2 linked regions of the Stegostoma tigrinum genome follow. The protein of the gene in region 2 binds, or shares a complex with, the protein of the main gene of each other region. Links are inferred from orthologs where the notes say so. Each region holds a gene or a part of one and is shown on either strand. Other genes may lie near its edges. The genes, in order: cnot6l and cnot10.

The links.
Region 1: cnot10 (region 2) and cnot6l share a complex: the UniProt entries of both Homo sapiens proteins name them as parts of the CCR4-NOT complex. The link is inferred for Stegostoma tigrinum from reciprocal best matches to the Homo sapiens genes CNOT10 and CNOT6L.

The regions. Positions count from the first base shown.
Region 1 is NC_081354.1:70,271,228-70,280,254, forward strand, and holds the start of cnot6l (CCR4-NOT transcription complex subunit 6-like), read right to left. Parts: upstream 4,018-9,027; 5' UTR 3,824-4,017; intron 1-3,823. UniProt on the Homo sapiens protein: Has 3'-5' poly(A) exoribonuclease activity for synthetic poly(A) RNA substrate.
Region 2 is NC_081358.1:37,182,544-37,192,392, reverse strand, and holds the start of cnot10 (CCR4-NOT transcription complex subunit 10), read left to right. Parts: upstream 1-5,686; 5' UTR 5,687-5,786; coding exon 5,787-5,826; intron 5,827-6,721; coding exon 6,722-6,819; intron 6,820-7,832; coding exon 7,833-7,994; intron 7,995-9,849. UniProt on the Homo sapiens protein: Component of the CCR4-NOT complex which is one of the major cellular mRNA deadenylases and is linked to various cellular processes including bulk mRNA degradation, miRNA-mediated repression, translational repression during translational initiation and general transcription regulation.

The sequences.
Region 1 (9,027 bases), on a different chromosome or scaffold from region 2:
CGGGGGGGGGGGGGGGGGGGGGGGTACATGATTGGGATGTATAAAGTAAGAGGCCCAGATAGGGTAAACTGGAAGGAACCTTTCCCCTTATTGGAAGGAGCTGTGACCAGAAGGCTTAGATTTAAGCTAAGGGGCAGGAGATTTAGAGGGGATGTGAGGTCTTTTTTTTCATCCAGTCGGTCGTGGGAATCCGGAATTCACTGCATCTAAGGTTGGTAGAAAAGAAACCCTCATAACATTTAAGAGGTATTTAGGTGTGCATTTGCAATGCCAAGGCATACAAGGCTATGGATCAAATGTTGAAAACTGGGATTATAATGTCAGGTGGTTGATTTTCCACCAGGGCAGACTCAATGAGCCAAATGGCCTTTCCTTGAGCTCTGGATAGACCTCTATGACCAGAGAACATAATCTCAGAATAAAGGGTCACCCACTTCAGACAAAGATGAGGATTTTGTTGCTCTCAACAGGTATTGATTCTGTGGGATCCCACCCAGACCTATCACACACCATCTCTATAACCCTCATTTCCCAAGGCCAATCCACCTACCTCAACATCTTTATACTATGGCAGGGAATCAGAGCAGAAACCTACACAGACATGAAGGAAACGTGCAAACCCCACACAGTAACCTAAAGCTAGAATTGGATCCGGGTCCTTGATGCCGTAAGGCAGCAGAGCTAACCACTGTGCCACCACACTGCCCAAAGGAGCAGAAATCTTAAGTACAGCTTTGACTACAAAAAGTTCAAGGTCTCAGCTCAGAAAAGAAAAATTAAGTGCATTCAAAAGGGAGAACAATTCTCCTGGTGGAACAGTCAAGTTTTTTTTATTCGAATCAGTCACCCTAGCCAAAGTGTTTTAGCTTATGGAGCTTCTACTCAATCAAGTCAAAAAGCTCTTTGTGGGGAAATATAAACAAAATCTGCAAATAAACGACTGACAGCAAGTCATTAAATCAAAATAATATTGTCCAGGGTGGTGATGCACCCCAGCCCCTGTACCATCTAAAGGTCTCTAAAGGCATCTAGCACGCGAGAGAACAGTGCACACTCCCTCTCAATGGCCAACCAAGTGCAGACATGACTGCAAATGAAGGGCAGTCAGGCACAAAGACCACCTCCATGGCCTGCTGTCAGGATCTGTTAAAGCCTCTTTGGCCTAACCCAGAAGGATGCCCTCTGATCTGTCTGCACTTCCCCCACACTGGGTGCCTGTAAAACAGGAACATGGGGTTGAAGAGCCAAAAAAAATTAGAAATGACCTCTTCAAAAACTAAAAAGGGGCTTCAAATGAAAACATTCAACATAAATGTGACAAATGGTTTCACTCAGGCCACCAAAACTTTGTGTAGCCTGGGATCCAGTGTACTTGCATGGGACTGCTGCGTGCAAAACTCTCCATCCCAGATCCCCGCTGGAAAAGAGAAGGAACCTATAGGTTAATCACATTGCTATGGATCTGCAACCATGTATTGGTCAGACGACTTCCCTAAAGGATATGAACTAACCACATTGGTTTTTATGAAAATTAACAGAGATTACATGGTCACCATTAAACTAGCTTTTAATTCCAGATTTTTTTAAATTGATTTCAAACTTCATCATCTACCGTAGTGGAATTCAAACTCCTTTCCCCAGAACATTAGCCTGGGATTCTGCAGTGACATCACCAGTACATCAACACCACAAAGGAGGTGATCGCTTAGTGGTATTATTGCTGGACTGTCAATCCAGACACGTGGGTAATGTTCTAGGGACCCTGTTTCAAATCCCATCACGGCAGATAGGTCCAAATATTTATTGCATTCAAAATCCACTAAGAGTCTAATGATGACAGTGAATCCGGTCAATTGCAGGAAAAACCCTCCTGATTCACTAATTTCCTCTGTGGAAGGAAATCCACCATCCTTACTTGGTATGGCCTACATGTTACTCCAAACCCACAGCAATTATGCTTGACTCAGCTGCCCTCTGGGCAATTAGGGACGTGCAATAAATGCTGCCTGGCCAGTGATGCCCTCACCCTGCTCATGAATTTTTTTTTAAAAACTCCCTTGTGGAGCTTCTAAAGCTGTACAGTGTTGATAGAAATCTTCAAATTGCTCGAACTGGAAGGTAACCAGAACTGTCAAAGGCTCATACTATTCATCTCAGAAAGGAATTGTAAAACTGTCTCTGTGGTCCAAGGAAAAGAATCTGGGAGAGTTCAGTTAGGTGAAAACGTAAGACTTTAGCTAGGAGTGACATTTCTGTGAAATTGAGGATTTGTAGGAGGATAGTGTTGGTGAATGCATTGAGACTTAGTTAGATCCTACAATGGCAAAATTGTCTTAGATACATCTTAAGTTTATTACATGAAAGAAAGAAAAAAAAACATGTTCTATTAATAACACAGAAGACAAATGATGCTGCCTCACGTGAACCTGAGTAAAGGTAAAAGGTAAAAGGTAAAATCATTACAGTCCTACCGGACCATACTGCTGCCCTCCCAAAGTTAGGTGACTGGTGGAGGTTTAACCTGAGGATCAACATGCATCAGGTGAGGGAGAGGCTGAGAAGGACAGCCCTTCATGGTAACCACAGCTAGTGCAGAATTGAACCCATGCAATTGGCATTACTCTGAACAAACCGAATGAGCTAAATCGGCCCCCAAAATGAATAATCATCATGGTTAGCAACTACAAAATTAAACATTGAGGAAACAGGTGATTTACAGATATACAAGGCTTATAAAAGCCAAAAATATGCAGTTCTCATGAACTGATCATACAGAGTCTAAGGGGCACATATTTGAAGCTTTCAGCAAGACACACAGTGGATTGGGAGAAAGATCTCAAAAATCCCCCAGCAAGTGGAAATGACCTGCAACTTTATATGCATAAGAACAGCAAAAACAAAAACAAAGAGTTGATTCAAAAGAAGGTGTGTTTGAGGAAATAAGTTTGAAAAGCTCCAGAAATAGTAAGAGGACTAACTGCTCAAGAGCTAGCACAGACTCAATAAGCCAAATGTTCTCCTCTGTTACAATGACCCCAGATGCAATGTTGAAAAGCATTTTGAATTCAATTTTCAGAGCACAATCTAATAATAAGTATCACTTTTAAATTCTCAAAACACAATTACATTACACGTGGAATGAGTATCACTGGTCTTTTTAAGTCAGGCTGATATGTCTGCTACATATAATGCAACCAAAATTAGTTATTACTGCGCAGAAAATTCTCAGCATCAAAAAGTTGGCAAAATATCCCTCTCTATTATTCTCTACTTTCTCTTCTGCAAGGATATCTTCTCAGAGACAGGAAACAAGATCTCACTTAAAACCTTGAAGCTCTCCACTAATGGGCCCACAACACAACCAAACCAAACTCTAAAACTTGCTGCCTAAGAATAAAGTTCCCCCCTCACAAATACGCCATCAATAGAATTTCCAGCCTTTAAAAGTGGAACTCTATAAATCTACAGAGCAAAGGTTTATGATCGCGATACAAACATTAAGGTGAAGGGGAAGTGCCTGAACTTCACCACCAAGTCTTTCCGAACCTCCCGCAACAAAGCCCCAATCGCTACCTTTCAGGGTCCAGTCAATCAATACAGACCCCAAGGTTCCCGCTTCTTGCGGCCAGCAAAACAAGAAAACATGGATTCAAACCCCCGATCCGCGATGGGCTGAGGCAGTTGTAATGTCTGTCCGTCCCTCCACCGCCCCAGGGCCTCGCTCACAGGTCCGGGTATCCCCTCAACCGCCAATAGGCCGGAGACAGGGCCCAGGCAGCAGCTCCCAGGAACCGAGAGGTTCAGGCCCAGCTCTCAGACTCACCTCCAGCCCGAGCGACGCTCACATCTCTCCGGAGACGCGGCGCTGGAAAGACCGAGAGACACCAACGCCGTCCCCGCCAGCGAGCGATCCGATTGCTGATGCCCCCCCACCAAAACAACACACACCTCACACCCAGAGCCAAGCGGACTCACTGAATCCCTGACATGGCCCTGCCTTCCACCGACCGCCTCCCTCCTAGCAGCTGGTGTACAGCAAAGGGTGTGCACTATATATATAAATGTGTGATCTATACCGTGTGTGCAATGTTCATACACACATGTAAAATATATAATTTATACTATTAATACCATCTGTATGACCATGTAAACAATTTATATACTCTGTGCAAAAATGCAGTGGTCACGAAATACAAACATACTCTATTCAACGTTCAGGATCCAGACATAATCATAAAATAATTACAGAACAATGGCCAATCTGCCCATCAAACCTACCCCAGCTCTATCCCCATGGGTAAAAGTGGGGAAATGATATAGAACATAAAAGAATATGCGTTCTATTTAACCTTGTGAAATATGCATAGTGTATAACACCAAATTATATAGACAGAGAACAAGATACACCTTGCAAAATATAGAGTCCACAATAAGTATGATCACATAGAATAATAGTAATGTATTATGTACACAATATTTACCACATATACTCTGTTCATAATGTCGTGTGCACAAACTTTCTATTGTTCACATTTACCCTGTTCATAATATATTTATTGTACATAAATGTACACAGCATTTTACACTTACAATATGTACAGACAGCATAGCACATGTTTGTACTACAGAAAAGAAACATTTCAATCCGCTTCAAAATATATAATCATAGACAATAGATTACAAGCAAAAAAAAGTTACTTGGAGTGACCAAAAATTCAGTCCAGAAGGTAGTTTCATAAAATCTTAAAGCAAAGGTTTTGGTGGGAAAGCATGACATTTAGAAAGAAAATTTCAAATTGTGAGGCATGGACAGCTGAAGGCACAAGTGCCAATCGTGGCGCAAAGGGGTTGGAGGAGGCAGAGCTCTTGAAAGGTTGCAGTCTGGAGCAGATGGTGACAGGTAAGGGTGAGAATTTAAACCAAAAGGTTTAAATAAAGGATAAAAGTTTTAAAATTCAGGCATTGATGACTGGAAACAATGAGCACAGATGTGATAGGTATTCAGGATTTTATGTAGGTTAGCATCCAGAAATCATTCTTTTGAATTAGGTCAAAATCATGTGATTGGAAGGCAGGAAGTCAAAGAACATATTCCTGCACCGCTGACCAAATTCCTTTCCCTGCCAATTGTCTGTACACAACTATAGTATAATATTTGATCCCAAGATGAATTTTCAACCAGATAACCATATCATGATTGAGATTACTTTTGTCCACTTCCATCATACTGACCAATTCTGCATCGCTCTCGCCTCATCTACTTTTGGTCAACAGCTCTAATATTAGCTGTCAGTTAGAGTTTGGGTTTATTTATAATGCTCCTGTGAAGTTATTTGATAGATTTTAAAATGTTAATGCATGTTAGAAATACAACTTTTTATGTTGCAATGGACAGGCCTAGATGTAATCAAAGCATAGGGAGGCTTTTCCCAGTAGTTGAGCAGATCAAGATTAGTAGGTGGAAATAGTCTTTGTGATGGGGAGGATATGGGGTGAATGCTAATCTCAAAGTGACATGAGATGCCATGGATATAAGCAGTTTGGTTACTGTTTCAGCATAGCCAAGGTGGGGAATGGAATGAGCAACCCAATTCCTGGAGAAGGCTGTTGATAATGGCTTTCCAATGTTTAATTTGAAATGATACATCCAGGATTGGTCTATATGTAACTTCAGAGTTGAGTCAAGCCTCAGCCAATTAGAATTCTGTCCCTGCCACAATTCAAAATGGCCCTAATATCAAAGTCACAATTTCTTCTCAACATTCTTGGCATTTCTCCAATTCTTACCACAGTTGAACGGACTATTCTCTGCCAAAATCTCTTCATCGTTGTCCAGCAAGGACTGAAATGCTGCCACATGGCTTAATTCTTACTTACCTAATCATAATTAGACCATCATTTGCAGTGGCTTCACTTCGTCCTCCTATATAAATACTTTTGGTCATCCCCAGGAATTTACCCTCGGCCCCGTCCTTTACCTCACCCACCTACTACCCCTCAGCAACATCATTCAAAGTATTAATTTCAATTTTACATTAACAGCTACCTCTACCCCACCACATTTTCTCTCAACTCTTCCACTGTTGCTAAATGATCAGATTGTTTATTCAACAGCTAAAGCTAGTTGAGAAGAAATAACTCCCATTTTCTAAATACTGAAAGCACTGAATTCATTATTTTCAAATGCAAACTCCAAACCCGAAATACTGATTCCACCCAGATTAACCAGTCTGTTCACAAACTTAGTCATATTTGTTCCTAAAACAAGCTGCCAACCTCATATTTATACAATCATTAAGACTAACTACTTCCCCCTCTCTAACATCTCACCTCAGCTAATTTGGTGCAGACGCCCTCATTCATGCCTTCACCAACTCGACTATTTCAAAACACTGCTGGCTGGTTACATGCATCCTACCTTCTCTGAACTTGAACTCATCAGAAACTCAGCAGCCTGTGTCATAATTCACAACAATGTCCTATTCAGCTATCACCTCTGTTCCGTAGATATTTCCACAATCTAATCCAATATCATCTTTAAGACACATTTTAAACCTATCATTTTGTAAGGGCCAAGCCAGAAAACATGAGCTGTGGTGCTATTTCTGGCCTGGGCCCAAATGTCAAGCTGGAAACTGAACCCCACCAAAGTACAGCACCTCCATCCCAGGCACAAGTACAGAAACCCCACCCTGATCTGAGCATAAGAGGCCCCAGTCCAAACAGCCCAGGTCCTGATTAGTGACCCGACTTCCCCAACCTAAGCACAGTAGCCTGCAACTACCAGTCTTGCCAATGCCTCAAGGATACACACCACATCCAACCCCATGCTCCAGGACCCAGCCCTACCCTGACACATGTACAATGATTCCACTAGCCCAACATCAGCCCAGCGGAAGTCCCCACGAGAACGTACAGGCCTGGTCATTGGGTTCCAATGGACCCCTATGTATCCCACCCTGCCATCCCACACCCTACCTTCTTGGCCAAACATTTTGTTATACAACCTAGCAACTCCGTATTTGTTATCATAGATTGTTTTGTAATGTTATTATGAATTTTCTTGGAATTTTTCATTGTAATAAAATGGCTATATAAATGTAATGTTGTTGTTGTTAAGTTTCAATCCACAATCACAATTTTACTTACTTCCACTGTTGCGGCATCGTTCATTACTACCTCTATTTCATACCCTCAGAATGCTTTTTTTCCCTTGCTTTTCTACCTTTACTGCCTCTAAAGCAGGGGTTGACAAGGCTGGTATGTTATTCTGTGATCTATGAGTATAAAGTGACATCAGACACACTGCAGAGAGAAACTTGTATCAGAATCCTAATTTGTAATTTTGGGTGAGTATGAAGATAAGAATCTGAAATGAGAAACAAGAATAATTCAACCAGTTTAAAAGTGTGAGGTTATAAATTCTAAGTCTTAAATTATTTCAAGATTTAAATTTTATTTCTCCCAAACTTGGCAAGTTATTAATAAACAGAGACATTGCAGTGTACCTCAGCTCTGTCAAACACATATCCTGTAGCATGTGGAAATTCCAGGGGGCTTCTCATGTCTGTGTCAACAATATGAGCAGGAAATGTTGTCAGCTTGGAAGCTGAGCTCCAGATTTTGATGCTTGAGCAATAGCTCAGGGCACTTTGATGCATCCACATATCTGAGGGCTATCTGGAAAGCATGTTTCCAGTGGGTGTCATCCCATGTCTTATTATGGGGAGATAAAAAAGGAATAGGTGAACCCTGGATAGGCAAGGAGACCCAGGCAGGGAATGCATGATCCCACTAAGGAACTTCTCTCTCTCTCTAAATGATATTTCCTAGTGAGCGCAATGAATTTTTATTGTAACTGCAGCCAAGTGAAAAAAGGCCAAAAGAATATAAATGTTTATTATAGATATGTAAGCAAGAATAGATGGTTAATAAAAGGTAGGCATAGAAACTAAACTAAACGCATTGCTTGGAAGCAGAAGTCATTTCCCAAGTACTAAAACGAGTATGTTACATCTCTCTTTACCAGGAAAAAGGAAAATCACAGTAAAGATGGAAATAGTTCAGAATGGCTAATAATTGATGAAAAGTGTGTTTTACAAGGCTGGCTGTACTTAAAATAGATAAACTTCAAGGTTCAAGGTAAGTGTCCAAAGATGCTTGGCAAGTCGGCTGGAAATTGCAGAAGCACTGACCATTGTCTTACAATTCTTTTTGATACAGAAATAGTACCAAAGGACTAGAGAACTGAAATGTTTTACTCCTGCTCACAAAAGGGTGTCAAAATAAAGCCAGCAACCGTAGGCCAATCTCGGTTTTGGAGTAGCCTTTAGAAATGATAATCCAGACAAAATTATCAGACAGTACAAAAAAGCCTTTCTAAAACATCAGTCCAGCCACAATTCTGGGCACTACACTCTGCAGATGAGAAAGGCCTTAGAGAGAATACAGAAAAGATTTACTTAAATAAAACAGGAATGAGGATCTTTAGCTGCTTATACAAATTAGAGAAACCGGGCATGTTCATTTTAGAGAGATAAGGTTGAAAGAAGGTTTGATAGAATTGTTCAACATCATGAGAGGTCTTTACAGAGAAAATGTTTCCAATGGTAGACGTGACAAAATGACTGTCAAACAACCAAATCTTTTATTTAAATTGGTTACATTGTGTTCTGTCATGCAGCACTATCATGATTTCATGTTTTGATCATTGACTTTTACAGCACAAACGCAGGCTGTTCGCCCATCATTCCTGTGCCAGATCTTTGAAAGAGTGAAACAATTTAACGGCAATTCCTTTCAATTTCTCGAAAGCCAAAAAAGTTTCCCCTTTTTAGGATATTTGTTCCCTTTTGAAAGATACTGAAATTATTTCCACCACCCTTTCAGGCAGAAATTTTAAGTATGAACAAAATTTTGAGTAAACAAAAACTCATCCCCCACCCCCCCACCGACAGCACCCCCTCATCCCTACCTCACAACTCTCCCTTATACCAGGAAAACTTGTCCCATAAGCTCATACATTAT
Region 2 (9,849 bases):
CTCCCTTCACCCCCCGCCCCGGGCACTCACTGAGCGCCCCCACCCCACCTCCCCTCCCTTCACCCCCCGCCCCGGGCACTCACTGAGCGCCCCCACCCCACCCCACCTCCCTTCACCCCCCCGCCCCGGGCACTCACTGAGCACCCCACCCCACCCCACCTCCCTTCACCCCCCCGCCCCGGGCACTCACTGAGCGCTCACCCCCCACCCCACCTCCCTTCACCCCCCCGCCCCGGGCACTCACTGAGCGCTCACCCCCCACCCCACCTCCCTTCACCCCCCGCCCCGGGCACTCACTGAGCGCTCACCCCCCCACCCCACCCCACCCCACCTCTCTTCACCCCCCGCCCCGGGCACTCACTGAGCCCCCCCACCTCTCTTCAGCCCGCCATCCCGGGCACTCACCCCAAAACCCCGAGCTCTAACCGTTAACCGTGTCCGCTCGCGATCCTGCGCAGCTGCAATGCGAGCGGCGCCCAGTGTTAGCGGCCAGAACTGTTGCGGCGCCTGAAAAAAGAGGATCCGGAAGAAAGGTCAAAGGGCGGGTCCTTTACTGAGAAGGAGGGAGTTGTGAATTGGTCATAGAATCCCTACAGTGTGGAAACAGGCCCTTCAGCCCTACGAGTCCACAGCGAACCTCACAGCATCCCACCCAGACCCATCCCCCGAATCTACACCTTCCTGAATTAAGCATGACCAAACCACCTAACCTGCACATCTTTGGACTATGGGAGGAAACCCATGCAAACACGGGGAGAATGTCTGCGCGGAGTCTGCACAGATGCCAGAGGCTGGAATCAAACCCGGGTCCCTGGCGCTGTGAAGCAGCAGTGCTAACTGCTGTGCCACTGTGTGTCATCTAGGCTAATCATGCATTACAGGTCAGTTATCTCAGTCACAAGATATCAAAGCTAAGAATGTATCCATTTCTTTCGACCTTCCCACAAATTTCATGACACATCTCTCTGATAGTTTCCTGGATCATAATCCACCTCAGTGCTTGTGTTATGAAAGATCAACAGAAAGTTACTGCTGTCTGCAGCAACAAGAACAAAACCATACTCTCAGTTTCGCAAACCTTGAGTGGGACGGAAGTTTCAAAGCAATGCAATTTATGAAGAAGCAAGGTGTATTATTCAAGCAGGATAGAGCAATCTTTTATTTCTAGGAAAGGGAATGAATTGATTTATAAGTGAGCTTTGTTATTCCAGTGGGATGCATACCTAAAGTGTTCTCTGGGCAGCGCAATTCATCCAATATAAATTTAAAAAAGCCATACCAACACAAGCACTGTAAATTCAGCAGAATTACAGGTCACAAAAGGTATACATGAACTGCAGACTTACAGGCCGAGCCAATGTCTGATGCTCAGAATTATTTGGAAATACAGGAACAGGAGTACACGCTGATGTTGGTGGTTGTAAATGCTCTTGAGGAAATTTTAAATCTAGGAAAGGAAAAACCATCCTCAGCACTAAGTCTTTCGTCCTCTATCTTCCTGAAGACACTGATCTACAAAGTTCGCCATGAGTGGCATCAGCATTCTGCTATTTAACACAAGGACCCCTTTTCAATACAACAGTAAGTAAATTCAATAGTTGATGAGAAAGGACATTAAGCTCAGAACCTCTTTTCCACTCAATCACTGGACTGAACTAAATTAGTTGGCAAGATTGCAATGGATTGTTTAGTCAGACTCAGGATGCTGAAGGAGCTGAGTCGGGAGGGGAGATAAAGGAGCAGTCTGGTAGTTTATCAGGAAGGTCGTCCCCTGAAGGCACTCAACTGACCGCTGCTTAAATAAACGGTACCTAGACACTGAGCAAAAGCAGGATGAGAATCACCTTTGTTAAGCCTCTGTCAAACCGACTGTTGCCAATTCTTGGCTAAGCTCATGCATGAATGCTGTTTGTACTGAGTAGCTAACAGCTGCTGCCTCACACTTTCTGGAAAGTATTAGCAGAAAACCAGGCATGGGTTTAAAGCTTTTCCTCCTCTCAAACATAAACCCACATAATTTAACGCATTCTCTGAAATTTAATGTGTCTTTTAAAAGTACAAGTCTACTTTACACAAGTAGATAAGAATTGGATGATGGTTTACATAGTGGGGACTCTGAGAGAATGTTGTTGTTATAACACTCACTTACCCCCACTCACTGACACCTCTAATCTAACTAATTGAGAGACTGAATATCTGAGCCTAAAAAGAAAGGGTTAGAGTGAGTGACATTGGAGAGAGGTCCAGAGGGTGTGACTGTTCGGGAGAAGAACTTTTTGGGGGGGGGAGAGAGAGAGACAGAGTGACTATTGGATAGAAACCCAGAAAGAAAGGGCGAGAGAGAATAATCAGTTGAGAGAAGTCCAGAGAGCAGAAACTAGTTGAGTGACCCAAAGAGAGAGAGAATGTAACATACAGACAGTGGTCTGGACAAAGTAAGCTCCCAGATAGTGAGAGACCTTCAGGGAAGGATCCGTGGGCAGAATCATAGAACTTTTCAGCACAGCAGAAGGCTTTTTGTGCACTGGCCCCTGAACAAGCTCGTCCCATTCTCCAGCCCTGTGTCCATAGCTCTCTGTATTCATCATGTTCAAATATATATTCAGCTCTCTTAAATATCCTATGGAATCCACCTCCATCCCAGGCACCGCATGCCAAATACCTCTGATGCTGCTTGGCCTGCTGTGTCCACCTAGCTCGACACCTTGTTATCTCACATGCCAAATCCAAACAAGTCTCTGAGTAAAGAAGTTTCTCCTCATCTTACGAGATAATAAAATGTGAGGCTGGATGAACACAGCAGGCCCAGCAGCATCTCAGGAGCACAAAAGCTGACGTTTCGGGCCTAGACCCTCCATCAGAGAGGGGAATGGGGTGAGGGTTCTGGAATAAAAAAAATTTCAGAACCCTCACCCCATCCCCCTCTCTGATGAAGGGTCTAGGCCCGAAACGTCAGCTTTTGTGCTCCTGAGATGCTGCTGGGCCTGCTGTGTTCATCCAGCCTCACATTTTATTATCTTGGATTCTCCAGCATCTGCAGTTCCCATTATCACTGATACAACTTCTCCTCATCTTACTCCTTGTCCTCTCGCTGACAATCTTGAAAATGTAACTCCTAGTTGCTGATACACTAAATGGTAGAAACAGAATACCTCCTTTACCCTGTCAAAATTGTTCTAAAATTTGAATACCTTGAAAGGGCAACACTTTGTCTTCTCTGCTGTAGGGAGAGTGAGTTCAATTTCTATGATCTTCTATCTAATTTCTGTCATTCCTAGTGTCATTTGCACTCTCTCCAGGGCTTTAATACCTTTCCTTAAATAAGGAGCCCGGAACTGAACACTATGTTCCAAATATGATCTGACAAATGATTTAATATGACCAATGACGTAGTATTACTTCCCTGCTTTTATGCTGTATACTGTATTTACACAGCTCACAGGTGCATAACAGCTGTCAACATCATTAAAGACACATTGCTCCCTGGTTATGACCTCCTAGAACCTCTTACATCAGGCAGAAGACACAGAAACCCAAACACATGCACAAGCTTCAGAAACAGCTTCTTTCCGGCCATTATCAGACTGATGAATGGACTCTGGACTCTAGCCTCAAATAACGCAACCTGCAATGAAACCTGTATGCCTCTAATTCTTTTTGATCTGCTTGCCTGGCCACTTTCAGAGAATTCTGCACTTGAATCCTGAGGTCCCTCTGCTCCTGTGCTCCCTTTAAAGTTGTATCATTCAGCCTGTAATGTCTTTCCAGGTTTCTTCTATCAAATGTGTTACTTCACATTTGTATGCATTGACATTCATCTGCCAGGCATTTGCCCAGGTTGCCAAATTGGCATTGTCTCCCTGATGTCACTCAACGTCATCTTTACAATTTGCAATTCTCTTAGCTTAGTATCCTCTGCAAATATAGAGACTTTGTCCTCAGCAACCATCTCAGCAGTCAATTATATCAATCAGAAAAGTCAAGAATCCCTACACTGATCCCTTGGAAACATCATTGACAACTTGTCTTTAGTCTGAGAAATACCCATCTATACTTACCCTCTGTTTTCTATCATTTAACATACAGAGTGGTCAAGAGAGAGAAAATAACTGATAGAAAGTCAATGATCCAGACAAAGTAAGCTATAAAGAGAATGGAGGAGCAAATTACTGCAGATGCTGAAATCTGTACTGAAAATAACAAATGTTGGAAATCACGGCGGGTCAGACAGCATCCATGGAGAGAGAACAAGCTATTGTTTTGAGTCTAGATGATTCTTCATCAGAGCCCTGATGAAGAGTCGTCTAGACTCCAAATGTTAGTTTGCTCTCTGTCCAAGGATGGTGTCTGGCCCACTGTGACCTCCAGCATTTGTTGTTTTCAGTAAGCCATACAGAGAGATTCACAGGAAAAGAATAAATCGTAATGAGAGACCAAGAATGACCCAGAGAATGACCGATACACTGACAGTCTATGTCACTGATCCTAACCCCTCCATGGTGTACCTCACTGTCCTCCCAACATGTAGCAGCTTTAATGTTTATATTTGCATTTATCTGCCCAATTGCGTGTAAGTACTCCTTTGTAACCTGTGGCACAGTGGCTCAGTGGTTAGCACTGCAGCCTCACAGCACCAGGAACCCTGGTTCAATTCCAGCCTTGGGTTACTATCTGTGTGGAGTTTGTACATTCTCTTTGTGTCTGCATGGGTTTTCTCCCACAGTCCAAAGATGTGCAGGCTAGGTGGATTGGCCATCCTAAATTACCCATAGTGTTTAGGGGGATGGATCTGGGTGGGATGCTCCAAAAGGTGGGGTGGAATTGTTAGGCCGAAGGGCCTGTTTCCACACTGTAGGGAATTTAATCTCTTAAAAAAAACCTGCATTGGAATTTGTGTTTTACATGTCTGCAGAGTTCAATTTATAATTGTTTCCTATATCCAGCTCATTCCTATGAAATGGAAATGGTATTGACCACCCTCTCTGCATTACTGTCAGGATAAGGATTTGAATACTTAGTACTGAGATGGAGGAAATCTTCATTCAAAGTTTGCAAATATTCCGTATTATCTATAAATTCATTCAGTACCTTGTTCAAACATATTCTCCACCCGTCATGGTCGTATTATTCGATGTTTCGTTTCTAAATTAATATTTCCTGTTTAATATTGTCCCACTTTCTACTGGAAATGTCCTCACCTTGCTTTTAACATAATTTATATGGACAATGAGGTATATAATTGAGATTTTATTTGTAATATTTTATAACTTCAATGCTCATTCCCTTTTCCACTACTAAACCCATTCATTAAACTGCTAGAGCAGATAAAGAGTATTATCTGTAATACTCTTTACGTTTTTTATCCAAGAATTGATGTGATGGATAGCTAATGGGTTCAATATTGTTAATGGACGGACTTGTTCTATTTTTTACATTTAAGCATATCAAATATCACCACAGGACCAGGTGCATTAATTGTATGTTCTATTTTTACAATGCATCCTATACGCGATGCAATATTTGATATTTCCTACAGTATAGCGTACAACATTATAATTCCATAGGATTTGGTATATTGCATATTATATTTCTTTAGGGTGTATTACACTGTAATGTAATGAATATACAAGATGCACCAAGGATAGCCTCTTACAGGAAGTGACGCTCATTAGATGCGCCTGGATGACTGATTTCCGGCGGGGCCTTGGGTACACGGTACTACACCTTACCCGGCTCTGGGGCTTGGGCTCCTTCCCCGTCCTGGGGAGGGGGGGCGGAAGAAGTGAATGGGAATCATGTCAGATCCTTCTGCGGCGAGTAATGGAGGTGAGGGGTCTAGGGTCGGTAAGGAAGTTGTGTGTGTGTGTTTGTGCGCGTGTGCGTGTGCGCACACGTACGGGGACGGACACTTGTGAATTGTGAAGGTGGTGAATCAATTCCAGTCTAGAATCTGAAATATATTTGTTTAGCCACAAAGCAGTTGGAGTCTCAACCTGTCTGTCTCGAAGGATGGTAGATCACACAATCTCACAAGACTTTAAAAGTATTTTCATGTTCATTTGCTGGAACCAAAGAGGATTATGGACTAAGTGCTGCAAGGTGGGTTAAGCTGGGTAACTGTATTTGTACTAAATGGCCTCATTCTGTGCCATAAGACAGATAGTGCTGTCCTGACTGCTCAGTGACAGAGTAAGCATGTTTAAAAAAAACTGTTGAGGTAGTTAAAAATTTTTAACTGAAGTGATGTTTTCTGTAAAATATGCTGAAATGCATAAATTACAACTATGTAATTTTCAATGCCAGCTAAAACTCTTCACTGAAATGCTCAAGCTGATTATACCCCTGTTGTTGTCACCATCCATTTCAATTTCTTTCAAAACATTTATTCATTACCCCTCTAAATGAGTTGTTTTGATTTTGGTTTGTAGTTACATTCTCTGGGTTTTGTAGAATGAGAGGTGATCTCATTGAAGCAGATAAAATTCTGACAGGGTATGGGCTGACAGACTGTTTCTCCCTGGCTAGGTGGTGAAAATGTAATCCCATGATAAGGAGTTTATGAATGAGATGAAAAATTCCTTCACTTTTGCAGAAGCTCAAGACTGATTTTAGCTAAGTTTTTATTGGTTCAGAAGAAACTGCAGATTTTTAGAATGTGAGGAAAGAAATTGTAATATGAGAAACAGATATGCTAAATAAATGTCTTTGTTTTGTTTTGTAGATCAGAATACTGATGTGAAAACAGAGAGTAATTCTCTTTCTTCAGGGGTTGCTGACCATGTCAAGGAGCTTGCAAACAATGCTTATCAGGCTTACACTGTAAGTATTACATTATAAAGAGTTACCATGAAATCAAGTTTCATGGGCCAAGACAATTGCAATATTTCTTTTCTATTAATTCCGTTGATTGAATTTCATGGCCAGTTAATTTTTGTTCCAGGCTTTTGAGTTGTTACGATTAGCATAGTCTTCCACGCTGTTCGTGTCAATAGAAAAAGACACTTCCATAAACAGCTGTGTGTCTTCTATAATCTGAAACTTAATGCCTGAAGTGTGATATGCAAGGGAATAACATGGTACTGTTATTCTCTACACCACTGAATAGGAAATGAATTGAGCTCCTTTTTCTGAAACTTAACACAGGTAGCAGCAGTTAGATTTATTTCCATGTAAATAACACCGAATTAAATGATCATAAGTAATGATATTTGCACATATTGTACTATATCATAAAGTTGTTCTTCAGGATTTTTTGACCAAATGATCATAATGTAACATTTTCAGCAGTTTCCTGTTGTTTGCTGTTATTGTTACAATGTGATAATGGGTCAAGAACAAGACAGTACACGCATGCGCATGTACACATGCTGTCATCCAATTTTGAGTCCTGGTAAGAAGAAAAAAAATTGGTGGTTCTTGTAGTGTCTGTAGTGTCCTCATCTGCTGAGTCAGGACACCTGGGTTCAAGTCTGCTCTAAGAGGTGTGTGATAACATCTGTGACACATTGAGTCAAAATTTCTAAAATGGTAATTGTTGAAGTTAGCTTGTTTTCTATTTCAATAGAACGGAGTATGGGAATTTACAGTTTGAGGTATGACAGAAATTTCCAGCTGTTATCAGGATGACAGGATTCAATGTGCTCGCTCCTTGTTTACCGAGTGCACCAGTCGGTCTATTTCATTTGTTTCCCCTCCCCTAACAGCATCTTACATACTGTGATTTATTAAAACTGCATCAGTGTTTATTTGGATGTATGAACTATGAAGTTCCAGAAAATTGTTTGCTGCAAACAGCGGTTGATTTTATATACATTTTCTTAATTTTGCCGTAGTCCGGACAGTTTGACGCTTGTCTGCAATATCTGGGTCATCTGCAAGAGCTGAACAAAGATGATTACAAAATATCTCTGAATAAAGCGGTGGCAGAGTTCTACAAAAATGGACAGACTTTGACAGATACCTTAAGGCAGACTCTCAACCTGTTGAAAAATCAGGTAAAACTGATAAACCGTAAATGTTTTAAGAGATACCAAGGTGTCGAATTGTTTGAACGCAGCAGGCCAAGCAGCATCAGAGGAGCAGGAAGGCTGACGTTTTGGGCCTAGACCCTTCTTCAGGTCTAGGCTCGAAACGTCAGCCATCCTGGTCTTCTGATGCTGCTAGGCCTGCTGTGTTCACGCAGCTCTGCACCTTGATATCTCAGATTCTCCGGCATCTGCAGTTCCTACTATCTCTGAAACAATGTTGTTTTAACTCTGTGTATTCTGTATGAGATGTTAGTAAAGAATGTCCTTTGAGACAGCCTCCCCAAAAAGGCCTTTTTGTTTTAAAACAACATCTCAATGCATGATTTAATGGGGTACTACAGTATAACAACTGCAGCCATAATTGCTGAATCACATCTGGTACCTTGCATCAATTATTACTTTTCATCCAGCATCAAATGGTTTTTGCCATTTCCTAATTCATACACTTAATAATTTTAAACTCTTCACCACGTGGTTAATTTTCCCCTGTCAGTTGATGTCATCTGTGTACTCGACCATTTAAAATTGCAAAATTGTAACAGAATTAGGCTAGACGTAGCAATGTATAGAGCTGGATGAACACATCAGGCCAAGCAGCAACAAAGGAGCAGGCTGCTTGACCTGCAGTGTTCATCCAGCTCTACACCTTGTCATCTCACATTCTGCAGTTCCCGCTTTCTCTGAAATAGAATTAGACTAGTCAGTTTGTTTTGCCATTGTCATGTAAGTTCCTGTTTAAAGCTGAGATGTGAAGGAATTTAAGCTGTGAAGGCCTAGAGTCTTTGGAATGCCCTTCCCCAGAGAGCAGTGGAGGCCAGGTCATTAAATAAGAACCGAAATAACTGCTGATGCTGTAAATAACGGAGTTAATTCTGGTTTGCTGCAGTGTTCCAGCGAAGCTTAATGCAAGCTGGAAGAACAACGCGTCATTTTCCACTTGGGGACCCTGCAGCTCTCCAGACTCAATATATCGAATTCAATAATTTTAAGGCCTAATCTCCCATGCCATAGCTTCCCCCACCGCCCCCCACTCCAACCCCAGACACCAGGCCTTATCACAAAGCCTGCCATTGCACACTACCTATTGTTATGTCATTAACAATGCCCATTAACAGCTATTCACCCTCCTACCCAGAACGTTAGCAACTCCTTTGTCTACCCAACTGTTCTTGTCTCTCTCTGGGCTCTATCCTATAGTTTACTCCCTACACCATCCCACTCACTATTTTCTGCATGAAACCTACGTTTTCCTAACTGCTGTCAGTTTTGAGGATGGGTCACTGGACCTGAAACGTTAACTCTGATTTTTTTTTTTTTCTTTGCAGCTGCTGCCAGACCTGGTGAGCTTCTCCAGCAACTTTTGTTTTTGTGCCAGGTCATTGAATATGCTCAGGGCTATATTAGACCCTCTTTTGGTTGACGAGGGGGCCTAAGATCAAGAGATAGTCAGGAAAGTGGAGTTAAGGCAACAATAAGATTAGCCCTGATTTTATTAAATGACTGAGGAGCCTTGAGGGGCCAAATGGCTTTCTCTTCTTATTTATTGTGCCCATATCTCTCTTTAACTGAAACTTCCAATCTTATTTTGTATCCTTTTAATTGATTTATGCTATTTGCAAATACTCAATCATTTCAAAGGAAATTCTATTAAATCTCTGCCTCAGTAGTCAAAAAGTAAAGAACTTTTATGGTAAATTAACATTTTCTATATATCACATACGCTTGATTTTTTTTTCCCCCCACTGATGATCACCCTAAATTGCTTCCTTGTTGGATCAGGCTGGCATAATTTTTAGCCTTTTTTGATAATACTCTGCAAAAG